Mus musculus: one gene and its partners. The protein of the gene in region 2 interacts with the protein of the main gene of each other region in a pairwise test. Links are inferred from orthologs where the notes say so. Each region holds a gene or a part of one and is shown on either strand. Other genes may lie near its edges.

The links.
Region 1: the proteins of Grn (region 2) and 2510002D24Rik interact in binary tests that used the Homo sapiens proteins (3 or more experiments, as listed by UniProt). The link is inferred for Mus musculus from reciprocal best matches to the Homo sapiens genes GRN and C22orf39.
Region 3: the proteins of Grn (region 2) and Otx1 interact in binary tests that used the Homo sapiens proteins (3 or more experiments, as listed by UniProt). The two-hybrid records come from large-scale screens. The link is inferred for Mus musculus from reciprocal best matches to the Homo sapiens genes GRN and OTX1.
Region 4: the proteins of Grn (region 2) and Fam131c interact in binary tests that used the Homo sapiens proteins (3 or more experiments, as listed by UniProt). The link is inferred for Mus musculus from reciprocal best matches to the Homo sapiens genes GRN and FAM131C.

What each region holds. Positions count from the first base shown.
Region 1 is NC_000082.6:18,835,230-18,839,389, forward strand, and holds the start of 2510002D24Rik (UPF0545 protein C22orf39 homolog), read left to right. Parts: upstream 1-1,350; 5' UTR 1,351-1,366; coding exon 1,367-1,390; intron 1,391-1,476; coding exon 1,477-1,644; intron 1,645-3,860; coding exon 3,861-3,986; 3' UTR 3,987-4,160. UniProt on the Homo sapiens protein: Negatively regulates long-term potentiation and modulates adult synaptic plasticity. Stabilizes the interaction of RTN4 isoform A/Nogo-A with its receptors, inhibiting clustering of postsynaptic AMPA receptors at synaptic sites.
Region 2 is NC_000077.6:102,429,297-102,433,314, reverse strand, and holds the start of Grn (progranulin precursor), read right to left. Parts: upstream 2,809-4,018; 5' UTR 2,775-2,808; intron 351-2,774; 5' UTR 344-350; coding exon 206-343; intron 91-205; coding exon 1-90. UniProt on the Homo sapiens protein: Secreted protein that acts as a key regulator of lysosomal function and as a growth factor involved in inflammation, wound healing and cell proliferation. Regulates protein trafficking to lysosomes, and also the activity of lysosomal enzymes.
Region 3 is NC_000077.6:21,998,842-22,002,875, forward strand, and holds the start of Otx1 (homeobox protein OTX1), read right to left. Parts: upstream 2,811-4,034; 5' UTR 2,707-2,810; intron 2,349-2,706; 5' UTR 2,281-2,348; intron 1,744-2,280; exon of another isoform or gene 1,593-1,743; intron 1,017-1,592; exon of another isoform or gene 745-1,016; 5' UTR 636-744; coding exon 539-635; intron 1-538. UniProt on the Homo sapiens protein: Probably plays a role in the development of the brain and the sense organs. Can bind to the BCD target sequence (BTS): 5'-TCTAATCCC-3'.
Region 4 is NC_000070.6:141,366,936-141,371,001, reverse strand, and holds the start of Fam131c (protein FAM131C), read right to left. Parts: upstream 2,811-4,066; 5' UTR 2,700-2,810; coding exon 2,678-2,699; intron 1-2,677.

The DNA.
Region 1 (4,160 bases), on a different chromosome or scaffold from region 2:
AGAATTAAATAAACTGATTAAAACTCGCCTCTAGTTTGATATGGTATGTTGTAGATTGGTGGTATGGGCCACTAGCCAGAAGTCATAGGAAGGCCCCCTTGCAGCAGCACCCTACTTCATCCTGTCGTTAGAGACTATTTCCGAGACTTGTGGAGGCTGTAGGGATGGATGTCACTCCCTGATGCTTGGAGTGGAGCTGGTCAGGCCTAGCAAGGTCCTCATGGAGGGTGCACTTTCCCTCTATGTTTGTAGTTCCAGAGTGTGTCCATTTGCTCTTAGAAATATCCATAAACTTAATTGGCTCCTAACTCTGGCACATACATCATTACTGGCCAAATGTGGCTCTGGAAGGCATAAATGCTGTGGTAACCTGCCCGACCTGTCCTATGGGGCTGTCTCAGTTTCCCTAGCAGTAAGACAGCTTTCATTTGTAGGATTCTGTTAGCTAACTTGGTCAGGCTGGAAAGAGCTCAGTTAAGCACTTGTTCGTGCAGAGGATCCAGGTTTGCTTCCCAGCACTCACATGGTGGCTCATAGCCTGTAATTATAACTGTAACTCCAGTTCCAGATGATCTAAGTATATGTGTTGCACATACATAGTTATACACACAAGTGCACTAATAAAAATGTGACTGCATGTGTAGATAAGAGTACAGTGCTCAGGAGTCCCTTCTGTCGCCTAGAAGGATCAAACTAGGAGGGATCAAACTCGGGTCCTTGGTTCTGTTCACAAGTTTCTCTACAGCTGAGTCATCTCACCTTATGATCTCCAGTTAGGTTTTTTTTTTTTTTTTTAAATTGTTTTTGTTGTTGGGTTTGTTTCCTTTTTGAGACAGGGTCTCACTAATATATATATATATATATATATATATATATATATATATTCCTTTCTGGTCTAGAACTGACTCACTGAGATGTCCCTGCTCTTGTTTCCTGAATGCTGGGATTAAAGGTGTGCAACCCTGAGCCTGTCACTTCTAGGAGAACTTCTTTCACCCTTAGTCATCCTGCACTGCCTTCCTCCTCTCCATACACCAAATCAAGCTCACCTACACTCTGTGTATGCTCAGGCTACATACCTGCAATTTCAGTCCGCCAGGTGGGTTACTCAAGAGTTCAAGAGTCTGTACTTCAAAAACTGAACCACATACGGATTTGAAAAATAAAAAACTGGGAGAACTGACCAGAACTCCTGTTTTTTCCGAATGCTAATTAATACCTTATGTGACTTTGAAGCCAAGCCATCGGCTAGACACCAGGTAGTGTGGCCTCTGACTATCAGCCACTCAGTGCAGACGTCCTGTTTAGTGCGCGTTTGCTTGGAGCTCATTGGTTCATGTCCCTGTCAGTCACACGGGGCCTGGACATGGCGGTCGCAGGGAGCTGGCAGGTGAGTGTGCTTGGCTCCTGGGCTCCTGGGCTGGGTGGGATCAGGCCCTGGGGGCTGCCCGCGCTCTCCGCTGTCTCTCCCCGCAGCCTCCCCGGCCGTGCGAGGTCTACCGCGCCGAGTGGGAGCTCTGCCGCAGCGTCGGGCACGTCCTACACCACTACTACGTCCACGGCAAGCGGCCGGATTGCAGGCAGTGGCTCCGCGACCTGACTAACTGCCGCGAGTGGGAGGAGAGCCGCAGCGCCGAGGCCCAGGTGCGGGCTGGGTGTGGATGTATGCGCAGATCCTTGGGGCAACTCTCTCGTGTTTCTCTCCTGAGTACCAAACTGCGTTATCAACGAGACTTTAGACAGCCTCAGTTACGGGGTGGGGCGGCGCGGGGAGGGGGGCGCAGAAGGAAGGGAAGTATAGAGAGGCTTGGAGAGAGTAACCTTATAGCGTTAGAGTCATCAGCTTGACAGCAAGCTTGCCTTCACCCAGCCCTTGGGGATAGGACGGAGGAAGAGAAAAGCCAACGTGTCTGGAGCACGAGGGTGGGCTATAGAGGGCATAAGAATGAGTCCAAGAGCACCTAAAAATGTTCCAGTACTTGTGAATTGAGTTATCTTTGGCAGGTCAGTCTGGACCTGAGAGTGTGAAGGGTACTGTAGAGGACAGAGACAAGTATGGAGGCTGTTGCTGGACCTTTTCGAGGGAGATGTGAAGAAACCTCTACTTACTCTAGATAGCCATGTAGACATGGCGAAAGTAAAAAACATGGCGGAAAGCAAAAGACTGGAAACTTAACTGTCTGTAACTATATGTCAGCTATCATAAATTAGTGTAAGAAACAAAGATGTTTCTGAATAGAGAAATGGCCAGGGTCATGGAGAAGCAATTCACCGGGAAACTCAGAACACAGAAGCAATTATTTCTTTATTTTATTTTTATTTTTTTTTATTTATTTTTTTTTGTTGTTGTGATTGAGACAGGGTTTTTCTGTATAGCCCTGGCTGTCCTGGAACTCACTGTAGACCAGGCTGGTTTTGAACTCAGAGTTCCGTCTGCCTCTGCCTCCTGAATTCTGGGATTAAAAGCGTGTGCCACAACCACTAGGCTTCTATATAGTTTTTAAAGTACTTTTATTCTTATTTTATGTGTGTTTTTCCTGCATATTTATCTGTACCATGTGAATCTACTGCCTGAGGGTCCTCTGGAACTGTAGTTTCAGATGGTTGTAAGCTGATGTTTGAGTGCTGGGAACCGAATCCCAGTCCTCTGGAAAGCAGCCTCTAACTGCTGAGGGATCTCTCTAGTCCTTACAAGCCTTTTTAAAAAGTCTTTGTGTGTGCGAGTGCGTGGCATGCGTGTGTATATATGTGCACACATTGCATGTAGAGAGACCCTCTGTTGACATTAGGCATCTTCCTCAGTCACTTCCCACCTTATATACTGAGGCAGGATCTCTCTGAACTTGGACGTCTCCATCTCCTGAGTGCTGGGACTACAGGCATTCACCCACATACTAGGCCCCTATTTGCTTCTTTGTTTTGTTTTGTTTTGTTTTGTTTCGAGACAGGGTTTCTCTATATAGCCCTGGCTGTCCTGGAACTCACTCTGTAGACCAGGCTGGCCTGGAACTCAGAAATCCTCCTGCCTCTGCCTCCCAAGTGCTGGGATTAAAGGCGTGTGCCACCACTGCCCGGCTCCTATTTGCTTATTAAGTAATAATGATCATGTGATCATGTTAGAGATGGGGTCTGGCTGTATAGCCCAGGCTGGTTTGGAACTTCAGATCCTTTTGGCTTTGTCTGCCAACTGTTGGGAATACTACCGCTCCCAGTTTAAGAATGTTTGTAAAGAGGCCTACATAGCACCTGACACTTTGCCAGGATCAGCCCTGTCATAATACACTGTCTAGTGTCTGTTGGCAGTGGCTGAAAGAAGCTGGCAGGATGGGGGGCACCTTTTACACATACCCTGTGCAGAGTCCAACAGTAATTTTAGACGCTCTCCCTCTCTTCCCCACCCAGTGTCCTCACTCCCAGGCTAGGCGGGTAACTAGCTCCACACTCTCCAGGTCTGCTGTTGCTGAGGCTTAGCGGGTTTTGCATGGCTGAAGGCAGAGACTGAACATAGTTGTGCATGCTTATAATTGCGGCACTCGGGAGGTGGAGACAACAATCTCAGAATTGAAGGTCATACATAGTGATCTTGAGACCAGCCTGGGCTACTTGAGACCCTGTCTAAAACATGTCCAAAGAACACAAAATAAAACTGCTGAAGTAAGATGACCGGTGTGTGCTAAAACAGAACAGTTGCCAAGGAGTGTGGTATAGAAGCAGCTGAGCCTGTGTGTACCATGTGCTCCCATGTGTTCCTCTCTTCAGAAGAGTGTTGAGGAAGAGGGTGATATAGGTGCCATGCAGCAGTACTAAGAGCCCTAGGATCCAGTGGTGAAACAGTAAGTGACCAAGTCTCATTTGTACAGCGATCCCTCTGTGAGAGCGAGCAGGTTCGGGTCCAGGCTGCTCAGAAGCACACCTTGGTATGGGCCTTGAGGCAAAGGCCCCCTACGGACTGGAACCTCCCTCTACCACAGGAGAAGGACAAGTGATAAGCAACTGCAACCCTACCCTTGACCTAGACTTTGACTGGCTCTTACTTGACCTGGAACACAGAGCAAAGCATTTCCAGCCCTAATTGCCTGCTGCCCACTGGATCTGGGCATTTCATCACTGTAATACTCTGAAAGACACCTGTGTGCACATGCTGGAAGCCAAGCACTGAG
Region 2 (4,018 bases):
AGTGAGAAGACAAGAATAGCCAGCAGGACAGTGGCCATGGGTCTGGCAGGAGCCATCTAGATGATGGCTCGTTATTCTAGGCCATGTGTCCTGGAAAGAAGAGATGACATCAACCAAAGGGTCTGTGCCAGCCTTGCTCTGGTCAATCCAAGGTAGCCAGCCCTTCAAAAGGCCCGGGGTGCCAACTGGGGCAGGAGGCACTCACCAGAAGAGGGTTACAGCAGCTGTAGTTGGCTCCTCCCTGGTCAAGGCAGCAGGCAACAGGGCAGAACTGCCCATCTGGACACTGTGTTCCGGCTACCAGCCCTGCCGCGAAGGCCAGCCAGCTCATCAGGACCCACATGGTCTGCCTACAAATGCCAAGCAAAGTTTGGCAGCCACCTTAAACTCTGTGCCACCTTCTACTCTGAGGCCACGCACTCCCCTGTGCTCTGACCAAGGCCCTGGCTTCATTGAGTCTTCTCAACAAGCCAACAGGAAAGCAAGCAGATGTGTCGCTTGTGTCAGCGTCCTACCAGTGTGCAGCAAGCGCACATGCGTCAGCTGGCACACACTGTGGGCATGAACACGTGTGGATTCATGGCCTCACATACGGCTGAGACTCTGGGTAAGTGGGGGGGGGGGGCACGGGGTATGGCAGTCAGGAAGGCATGTGGCTTTTGTGGCTTTATCTATGGGACTGTGGGCTAACTGGGAGGCAGAGGAGACCTCAGCAGACACAGGAGGATGGCCAGCCCCACTGCCGGCACTGAACTGCCACCTGTAGCTTTCAAAAGCCTTGGGGGATGGAGAGGGACAGTCATCAGTCACATGATCATATGGGAAACCGAGCAGTGGAGAAAGTTGTAAAAACAGAAGTGCAGTGGTCAGTGGGGTCTGGTCTGGCTTCCCTATGGGCCAGCCACCGCCTACCCACAACTGTCCCCCCACCCCACCCAAGGGAAGGGGACACAGAGACTGGATCAGCCTTAAAGCTAACTTCATGGTGAGCCCTTCCCGACATCACCAGGGCACCTCAAACGGACCGCCTCCGTCTCTCCCCCCTCAGAAACCGAAACTCAGCTGCAAGTGGGAAGACCCAGCACAGTGCCTCACTGCCTCAGCAGGAGGAACCGAGCCTCTCACTTCCCTAATAAGCCTTTCCCCAGCCCAGCTGGCCTACCCAGCAACCCAGAATGACCCAACAATATTCAAAGACCCTCTAGGGAGTCTTTCTCCCTCTCCTTACTGTATTTCTCTGCAACAACTATGCAAAACAGTAATTATAATATTACTTTCACTTTTCAAATCCATGCCTAAGGATCAAGTCAGGGAAAAAAGACGGGATATGGGACTGGGTTCATATGCCAACTGGTCTCCCTGAATATTGTCAGAGAAGGACCCTGAATCCCAGAGGCCAGAGGTCCAAACAGGACAGGACAGAGCATTTTTCTGGCAGGTGACCCAAGCAGGATAGAAACAGGGTGGGAGCCGGGCGGTGGTGGTGCACACCTTTAATCCCAGCACTTGGGAGACAGAGGCAGACAGATTTCTGGTTTTGAGGCCAGCCTGGTCTACAGAGTGAGTTCCAGGACAGCCAGGGCTACACAGAGAAACCCTGTCTCGAAAAACCAAAAAAAAAAAAAAAAAAAAAAAATAATAATAATAATAATAATAATAATAATAAAATATTTAAAAAGTAGGTACAGAGACTTGGGTTTTAGTCCTGGAAGTGACACTCTATGTCAGAAATTGCTCCCTGTGTCTCAATTCTTCTCTGCCTGGACACTGGTGGCTATGAAAGACAGGAAATGCCACCCACACATGGCAGGCATGCTTTTGATCCCAGCATTTGGGAGGCTGAGGTAGGAGGGTTGCAAGTGCCAGGCCAACTTGGGCTATAAGGTGAATCCCAGGCCAGCCTGGGCTACATAGAAGGATCTGCCATCTTTCTCTTTCCTTCTCTAGGTCTTTTCAAGTGCCCTTTCACCTAATTCAAAGAACATCCCAGAGGCCATCTCCTAACCAGGAAGGGGTAGGGAAGACCCAGTTCCTCTCAACGGGGCTAGGGAGTGGTGAGCCCCTGGCCACCTCTACACTACACAGCTAGGGAGAACTGGAGCCTTTCAAAGCCCTAGCTCCGACATCTTCCACTAGGTGGCACCCCCCAACTCTGAGTGTCGAGGGGAAATGAATTTCCTAAAAGGTGAGCCAATCCAGATGAGAGGCAGCGGGGGAAAAGTGGCGGGGAGAGGCGGAAATTAGCTCTCTCGCCCCCCAAGAAAGGAAATAAAGCTGACACAACCCAGGGACTCAGCCATCACGCCCTGGTCCTGCTCGCAACCCCTTTGAGCTCTGGGGGCCAAGGGCCGGAGATCCCCACCCAATGCACGCCGCCGCAGAGAACACTTGCAGCGTCCGAAAGAGAAAGAGCCGGACCTGGAGACAGAGGTGGGAAGTACGGACAAGAGAGGAGCTGGCCCAAGAGTGGGGTGGTTCCTGTCCTGGAGAAAGGCCTGCAGCTTTCCGACATGCTGGGCAAGAGAAGCCTCTTATTGGGGGGGAGGGGGTGCGGGGAGGTGTCTCTACAACAACTGCCCCCACCCCTCCAAAAAAGAAAAGAAAAAAACAACCTCGTTAGTGCATCAGAAACCCCTAGGGGAGTTTCAAGAGGCAGGTCTTCTCTTGTCTCTGAGCTGAGACTCCAGAGGACCCTCAATTGCACAGGCAGCCTGGTCAGGCCTCTGGACCTCTGGACAGTAGCCGGGGAGATTGTCTGCAGAGGGTCCTCCTACCTGCGTCGGGGTCCGGGCTCCCTGGGAGGCATCTGGCGGTCAGCTCCAGGACTAGGGCTTGGCCGCACGATGGCCCGCCCACCTCAATTTCCATTAGCCATTGCTCGGAGATCCAGGGCTTCCATTGGTTACTTGTCTACGTAGAGGCGGGACTCTCCTGGAATGCTGTGTTTCTTTTCTACTCAGTTCACATTCCTCCTCCCTTTCCTCTTTCTCCCCACACCCCATTTCTAGGGATCATGTGATTAGAGAATCATATGACAACATAGCCCGCCTCCCCCAGGGCAGAGCTTGCTGGTTTGGGTTCTGGCGGCAGAGTGTTGCAGAGATGAGACACCTCATGCCTAAGGGCACCCACAGTTAGGAGAGCTGCCCTGAGGGCACGCGTTCAAGGTCGTTTACTGGAGGGTGTCTGCTTCTGGATCGGGACTTTTGTACATTCCTGTCTCTTCACGCCTGGCAGACAAGGACTCGAAACCAGTTGGAAGATGGTTGTGAGGGTGAAGATAAATAGTCCCCAGGTTTGAATGGGGAGAGTGGCTTAGACTAAATCTAATAAAGGTTCAAGGGCGAGTACCGGGCACTGTAGATGTGTGTAGGGAGGAGGCAGGAGATTGGCTCAAACTGGGGGGAAGAAGAGATTTAAATCCATATTGATAGCACTGCATTAAATTGAAGCTGAAAGAATTTTAAGAGGCTGATAAGGTGGGACAGAGGAACTTGAAACTAGATTGGGAAAGACAGTGAATCCTTTCCTTGGGTAGTTTATATCTTGTTCTTTACAGACAGCCTCTAGCAAGGGTTGAAAGCCACGTTCAAGATAAGGGCATTAGCCAAGTGTGTGGCACTGCCTGTGGAGTAGGCTGGTGGCTGTCGAGATGGAAGGGGTTTCCTTGTTTCAGCTGTCCCCACCTTCGAGGAATTGTTATGGTGGGTGAATAGAGACCATGGGGGTCAGCCATACAGTTCAGGACAGTGGGAGTCTTACATAGAGAGGAGTGCATGCAGGGTTGTGGAATTCCGTGAGGGCTTCTTACACTGGAGTCCCAGAAAGTGTGTAAGACTGGTGCATCATTCTGCATCCTGATGGTGTTAGCATAGGTGTTCCATGACATTCATACAGGTGTCCCCAGAACAGACCATTGCTTATGCTTCTAGTGAGACACAGCCATCTGCGGAGGCTGAGGAAGGGGTGCTGCTGAACCCCAGGAGTTGGAAACCAGACTCAGCAACATTGCAGCTCA
Region 3 (4,034 bases), about 80 Mb from region 2:
CAGGACCAGGGGTCACTTTTTCCAAGAGAATAAACTCATGTTAAATAAGTAGGATCTAGAAAAGAAACCCAGGGCTCAGCTGGAGTCCCCCATCATGCCAGAAGAGTTGGGACAAATCACTGGTCTTGAGGTTTCTCTATGGAGAAAAAAAAAAAACCCTACTTCTCAGGGAAGCTAGACATAAGAAAAATTTGGCTATGTTAGGGCCTAGTGAGTGTCCAGATTCCTCATGAAATGTTGGACCAGGGAAAGGTTTTATTTTTTATATTTTTAAAAAAAGCAACTGAGGGAAATAAATCCGGGGGCAGGGGGAGGGATAAACCTGCCCTCCCTAGCAAGTGGGACACAAGAGGAGCCAGGTTGCAGGCACCACAAGCTCAAAAGTTGTAGGCTGCACTTTCTACAGAGCAAGGCAACAGGCGGCGAGCTAATCACCTTCCTGGGTCTGTTTAGGGACTGTGTGGGCTCAAACTGTAGAGGATGGAATCCCCCAATATTTACAGAGGTTTGAGGGTAGGGGCAGAGGGCCACTGCTCACCAGGGTAGCCCACGGAGGGGTGCAGGAGGTCCATGGCAGGGCCAGCTAGGCCCAGCCCGTTCATGCCGTATGGGGGTTGTTTGAGGTAAGACATCATGCTAACAGCCGGGTGGAGGTGCCCCGACGGATCCAGGGGGCCTGAGGCCAGGAGCAGTTCAGGGCTCCCACTGCGAAGTCCTTCAAGCTGTTGCTTCTGGGGGCCTGGCCTAGGGAGACAGCAGACACATGGAAACCTTCACCCGCAGTCAGTTTGGCTTTCAGCTCCTCTAATCCTTGAATGGGGAGGGGGCGCGTGCTAGGAACTGCACAGCAGGCAATCCGAGAAACGTCTTCTCCTTTAGCTCGGCAGCTACACAGCTTCTCAGGAAAGTAAACTTTTCCCACATCGTTCCTTCCTCTTTTAGGGCTTGACAAGGGCCAAAGACACTCCTCGAGTGTCAACAGGAAGGAAAAGTTAAAGCGTGATCAGGCTGAGGAGGTGAGAGCCGGGACCGCGGAGGGTGCAAAATCCCAAGTGAAGTCAATTTTTTTTTTAGTGTGGCGGAAGCAATTTGCTCAAGCAAATGTTCATTTGGCGCCGGGAGGGCAGGCCGCACAGAGATACCGGGTTATTTCGTTTAGTTTGAAATATTTTTGAAAGAGGGACAAAATGGCAAGTAATACAGAGGCCCAAGGTGAATACACCTTGGGTCGCCAAGGCTCACTGGCCACATCATTTCTTCAAAGATCTCCAGCGCTGCCTCCTACCCCAGAGCCTGCAATCACCTTTCTAGTTGACCTCTCTGGGCCCCTAGCACTAAGAGATAGCTGAACAGGAATCCCACCGCACCTCCAGGGTAGATGCGGCCCAGGCCAGGCTAAGGCGGCAAGAAGACGCCAAAGGCACCACAGTAGAAGTGGCAGTTTCAGGATGCCGCCCAAGGTCAGGGGTACCTCCGAGGCGGTCACCCCTCTTCCTTTGCTCGCACAGGCGGGCCTTCTTTCTACCAAGTCTGCTAAGCACACCGAGTCCCACCAGAATTTGATGGCCAACCCAGCGCCCCAAACATTCTAGGGATTTTGGAAGGCCTAGCGTGCCAGGTCGCGTCGCATCGGCCGTCCTATATGAACCCGATGGAGAGCAAGGAACTAGGCCTCAGGTTGTAAAGCTCACGCACAGCCGACCGGGAGGGCGAGGCTCGGCGCAGACACTCTGAGCCCACGCAGCTCTGCTCCAGCAAAAGAAGGGGTTCTGGGAGTATGACTGGGACCGGCGGGGGGCTTGAAGCTACATCCCAGGACCCAAGGGTAGGAGATTCCGGGGAGAAAGGGAGGTAAAACTAAAGCAGCTCCCCCATCCCAACTCCTTTCCCCGCCTCAGCCCTGGGGGACCCTCAGCCTAGACTAAGGGGGTGGGGGGAGGTCAGCGAGCACATAAGGCGGAAAGGAAGGATTCAAAGAGCTTGGGCCGAAGGGCCACAGGCCTGCAGCCTCCGCGGCTAAGCCCGGCTGCGGTGTGAGTTTTCGAGTACTTTCGTCTAACTTAGCAGCCCAGTTCCGCAGCTTCGGAGGAGGCGGGGGAGGGGGCGGCCGGCTCCCGAGCGGCCTGGGGTCCCCAGGGCAGCCAAGGGGCGCCCGGCCTCTCACTCCAACCCCGCCCACCTGCCCCGGACAGAGGTAGCGGGGGTCGATTAGAGGACGGGGAGACGAGAGGGGCCACCATCGTCCCGGGGTGGCGCGCGGCCCGGCGACTCCCTCCTTACCTGCCCTCCGCAGTCGCGGCTTTTCACCATCTACCTCTCGCCTTCACCGAGACTCGCCGGCAGCCAACCTGCAAAACGGAGGCGCACAGGTATTACCCCGGAGACGGCGGGACCCTAGGCTTTCCTCTTCCCTCAACTTCCCTCTTCCCGTCTCCTGCATTTTTTCTAGGAGCTCTGTGCGTGTACCTCCAGGTTTCACTTTATTGCTCAAACACTTTGTTGCAAAGTCCCACATGCTTTTCCTCTCAAGACCTGGCCTCGCCCGGGACCCGGGGGGTGGGGTGGGTGAGTAGGGGGTGTTCGAGGGACAGAGTTAGGAGGTGGCTTGCGCTGGCAGCTGCACTCTCTCGGAGCAAGCCGGAGGCGGTAGGGACTGGAGAAATCCTGCATAGTCACTTGGCAAACTAAATAAATCAAGCAATTTACCTTGTCGGAGTGGCTTGTCTTGCTCGGTTGTTTAGGTGATTGGAAATGTAGCCTGATGAAGATTGATCACCTTTCTACTGCCCTCCCCGGGTATGTGAACGCGAGGCGAGTGCGTAACGGGGCTCGGCCTCCAATAGGGGGCCTAGAGCGGACTGAGTGACAGGGAGCTGGGCAATGGCGAGCCCGGGTTACCTCCGCGCGCCCCCGCCCTCCCTCGCCCCCACCTCCTCCCTCCCCGCGCGCCGGCCCCGCCCCGGTCGCGCGCTAACTCTGGGTCTAGGTTGGCAAATTCCGCTCAGAACGAGTTGAGGAGGGCGAAGGCTGCGCCGGAGTTGCTGGCACAGAGGGGGCCCCGGGTCCCAAGGCTCGCCCGAGGGCCCCCGCCCTCCCCTTGCCCGGGCCGCGCTCCGGAGGAGTGGCGTCAAGCTGCTGGATAACCGGTTCCTGCTCGCGCGCGCGCGCCGCCAGGCTCTGCCGCACTGTGGGAGCCAGGCTTCCCAGGCCGAGGACTCGGGGCGTGCTGGCCCCTGGCACTCCTTGATGCTCCCTGGGGCCCCAGCAACTCCTCCTCCGCTCCCCCACAACCAGCGGTCGCCGCCGGCGCGGGCTGCTGAGCGGAGCCGGGAGTGGGGGTGCAGCTCTCGGCGCGCAGGGCGCCCTGCGGCGACCCGGGACTCTTGCGCCCAGAAAGAGCACCGGCAGGGGAGGCGCCGCCAATTCCCAGCTGCACAGCGTTTCCAGGGGCTCCCAGGCAGTCTCACCAAAGGTGTTCGCAAGTCCTAAAAGCTTCTTCGGAACCGTTGGAACTCAAATCTCCTTACATTCTCTCTCTCTCTCTCTCTCTCTCTCTCTCTCTCTCTCTCTCTCTCTCTCTCTCTCTCATGGATTTGATAGAAAACTTTCTTTTTCACAATCTGTCAGTCTTTCCAGATCTCCACCTACAACGAACAGTCTGGTGGAAAATGTGGCTACACACCCCGATCCCTCTCACTTCATTTTCTACACCTTACTGGAGGAGCCTCCTCGAAACAATTTCCCCGGATTGTTCTTACTGGCAGACCCCAGTTTCCAGCCGAATAAACTTGCTGAGATCGTCTTCTTGTGTGTACTTTTCAAAGCGAGAGGGAAGAGTATTTTCGGCCCAACCCCGAACAAGGCAATATTTTTACATGGCATCTCCTACTGAATACTAGGGACCACACTTACACTCTTTCCTAGTTCTTTTTCCTCATCTTCTGCCGTTCTCACCCCAACAGGCGGGCGAAAAGTTTGAACCACAGTATGTGCGTGGGTGAGTTCGGCAGCCGCCGAGAGCAAGGTAGAGCGGA
Region 4 (4,066 bases), on a different chromosome or scaffold from region 2:
TTCACACCGCGACCTTCCCCCCACCCATTCTAACACTCCCACACCGTTCCCATCCCCATTGAACTTGCTAAGATGACACACTGGGGAACACTGGCAGGGACTAGGGACTCTTGATCCTGTAGCCCAGCAGCAGAGGCTAACAGCTGGGCAGGGTGGATCTTTCAGGTATGGCCTGGACCTGGAAGAGGGGGACCTGCTAGACTCCATGGGACATTCGTGCAAAGTTCATGATCCCTGACCTCCACTCCAGGCTCTGTGCATGGCCCATGAAAACCCTTGGCAGGTGGGGACTGTGGTCAACAGTCTGAACTCCACAAGGGCTGGCTCCGTGGTGCTGAGGCTGAGGGCCTAGCTGTGGAGAACTCAGAGCCGGGTCCTTGCTCTTTCCCAGTTTATGGCCCTAGGCAAGGTCGCGTAGTCACTTGTAAAATGGGGCTGACCATAGTATTTGGATGCATTAGTTTCTGTGCCTACAGGGTTTTAGAGTAGAGCCCAGTGAGCCATAAAACCGTCCAAGTGACAGGCGAGCAGGTAACCTCTGCCCAGTGGGTCATCAGCTGGGTCTCTAGAAGGATGGCTGACCTCTGTCCACGTATCCACCAGATCTCTCGCTTCTAAGTTTGCTGGAGTGCACGTTGAGACCTCTCAGGACAGAGAAGTTAAGACAATGCAGCTTGATTTGGGGGTGTCACTCAGGAAGCCCAAGATGCAGGATGAAGAATGGAGACTGTCCCAGCCAGCGTGACCACAAACTGCCCTGGCAGAGGGGAGTACGGGAGGAGCACGGGACTTGGAGACCCCAGGCCACAGACTCAGTGTGACTTTGGCAGGCATCACTGCTGTCTGGCCTCTATACTGTTCTGGGTGGCTCCTGTGCTCACGGGCCAGTGCACTCCGGCATGGGTTGGCCAAGGGGTGGAGAAGGGACCTGGTCACTAAGGAAAAAATATCCAGATACCTCACACCCACAACTGCCTTCATGGAAGGCCATCCATGAGTCGTTGGGGCTTCTGGGGACAGCTCAGACTCTGAGAGTAGACCTAAAAGACCCTTCAGGGCTTTCCACTCTGAGAACTGTCCCATTGGCCAGATGCCAGGCTGGGTTCCTCAGGTCTCAACAGACCAGGAGCCATACTGGATTTTCCCAGCTGCTTCTAACGTGGTGCCTGACACTCAGGAAGTACCTCGTCACCCCCAATCAACTTGAACCAACTTCATACAGCCTGACCATGCTCCTCCTGTCCCTCCTGCTGTCACCTTCCGGGGACCCCCTGAGTCACTTCCCTCAACACTCCCCCGGGAACCTGAGGAAGCCCTCAAAGTCCAGAGAATGGGAGAGGGCTGCTTCCAACATTCCAACACCCCCTCCTGGGGTGTCCCCAGGGGGCCTGCCAGCCCACTCTAAGGCCATTTTACCTTTCTCTGTCTGGGTAAATTACCAGTGACCAATACAATGTCAGTCTTGCAAGACCTTGGGGCTGAGGTGAGTAGACTTGACCTCTGTACACTCTCACTCCTGGCCCCGCCCCCTGCTCCCACAGTGGGTAAGACTCCCAAGTGGGACAATGGCCCAACCTCTTTTTTTTTTTTTTTTTTTTTTTTGGTTTTTTGAGACAGGGTTTCTCTGTATAGCCCTGGCTGTCTTGGAACTCACTTTGTAGACCAGGCTGACCTCGAACTTAGAAATCCACCTGCCACTGCCTCCCAAGTGCTGGGATTAAAGGCGTGCACCACCACTCCCGGCATGACCCAACCTCTTTTGAGGTGTTTGCTTTTTTTTTGACACAGGCTCTCATGTAGCCCAGGTTGGCCTCAAATTCTCTATGCTGTGGATGCTGGCCTTGAGCTCTTGATCTTCCACTTTCTGAGTGCAGGCATGTCCCCATACTCCGCAACCTCTCCTAAAATATTACTCCAAATACAAATATTCCCTCCCCACAGCATCTATGAAAGATCCTATGCACACACACACACACCCATTTACAGACAGTGCTCTCCCCAAACCCCACAGATGAGGGACAGTCACTCCAGTTCTCTGGAATCACCTTGGAATGGCCAAGGTGCCAGGTGAGAGACAAAGGCCCAGGGGTTACTGGGAGCATCAGCTGTCCTCTGTCCTCTCCTGTCCCCTGAGCAGGGGTGGGGGTGGGGATGGAGTTAGGGATGAGGGTGGGGAAGAGGGAGCCTTGATAACCTGTTCATCCCTACTGACCCCTTCCTGCGTGGGGTGGGGGTAGGGTTCTGGGGCTAAAGACACAGGCACCCTGAGAGGAGAAATGGGATCCTGGCTTAAAAAGGCCTGCCGGCATCTTGAGCGGGAGCGAGGTCTTCCTGGAGCTCAGTGGCCCATAAGAGGACCAGAAAAAATAGGAAGGCTCCCTCCCCTCTCAGGCACACTGCAGGAGGCGTGTAGCTGCGGGGAAGAAAGCATGGCACCGGACCTTGCTTCATGCCACCTGCCGGGTGCCGAGTGGGGCGTGGGGTGCGGAGACCTCCGTCCCCTCTGCGCGCTGCTCGCCCCCCTCCCGAGCTCTGTCCCCGTGGGGCGCACCGTGTCCTCTGGGGCGCGGCTGATCCATGAAGGGCGGACACCCACCCTGGCTTCCCTGAGCGGAGCGCTGGTGCCCCCCCCCCCGCCCCCCGCTTCTCGCTGCGTCCCGGGCCGCCCTGTCCTCACCTCGCGACACACAGGATCCCATCACGGGGCGGCGGGGCTGGGCCACTGCGCCTGGGGTGCGGTGGGCGGCCGCGCGCTCATGTCTCCGTGGGCCGGGGCTGCGCGGCTCGCCCTCCTCTCGCTCCTAGTCCCCGCTGCCGCGTCCGGATCGCCTCGCGCCGCGCCCGCAGCTGCCAAGGCCGGGCGACACCGCGGCGGGCGGGGACCCGGGGAGCGCGGAGGGGGCGGGGCTGGGGTGCGCCCCGCCCCCTCTGTGCCAGTGTACCTGTTGTCGCTAACCAAAGTAAGGCAAACCAAAGTAACAGGACTCGGCCCTGTAAGGAAGACTTCTAGTTTCAAATCTGAGTAGCGCCTGCTTTCTGGAGCTCAAGGTCAGGGGAAAGGGCTGGGAAGGGGAATTCTGCAAAGATGAGCCTCATCCCACTGTGCACAATGAGCAAGATCGAGCTTTGTTTTGTTTTATTTTATTTTGTTTTATTTTATTTTATTGGCTTTTCGAGACAGGATTTCTCTGAATAGCCCTGGCTGTCCTGGAACTCAGTTTGTAGACCAGGCTGGCCTCGAGCTCAGAAGTATGCGTGCCTCTGCCTCCCAAGTGCTGGGATTAAAGGCGTGCACCACCACTGTCTGGCCCTGAGCTTTATTTTTAGTGTGTGTGTGAGAGAGAGAGAGAGGGATCAAAGTACACTTGGGGTGGCGGGTGGGGGGGGACGGGACTCTATTCTTTCTTTCCACTATGTGGGTCTCAGGGATCAAACTTGGTAACCAGACTTCCTGGTAAGTACCTTTAACCTGCCGAGCCATCTCGCCAGCCTCCAGGTCAGGGGTTTTTGATAGTCACCTGCTTATGGGAGGATGCTGGTCCAGGGAGGGAGTTCTGAGGGAGGACCAAGACACTGCATTAGTGGCCTCCTGGCTAGATAAGCGGTCTCATGCAAGAAGGTAGGCTACCTCCCAGGGCTCCTCTGGAGCAAGGAAGTATAGGCAAACCCTACCTAGGAACTTCTGTCATGGAATAGTGGAGGCTAATTGCTGGCACTTGTATGGCTGTTAGCGTGTGTGTGTGTGTGTGTGTGTGTGTGTGTGTGTGTGTGTGTGTGTGTTCCTCTTCTCACACATATGCACTGTGTGCATTCACATGCACTCATTTAGGATCCTGGAGAGAGTGGTCAGATGTGCTGTGACAAACCTTGCCAGGCCTGAAGCACCCTGTATCTGAGGTAAATGTCACCTCACCCCATCCTTGGACATTCCTGTTTCCAGACAGAGGAGTCAATGGGTCTGTTTACCAGCCCTGTATCACTAGAGACAGCCCTGGGGGATGAATATGGCTTAGAGCAAGGGTTTGAAGACCCTGTGCAGAGCAGAAGCCAGGCCTGCTGGGGCTGC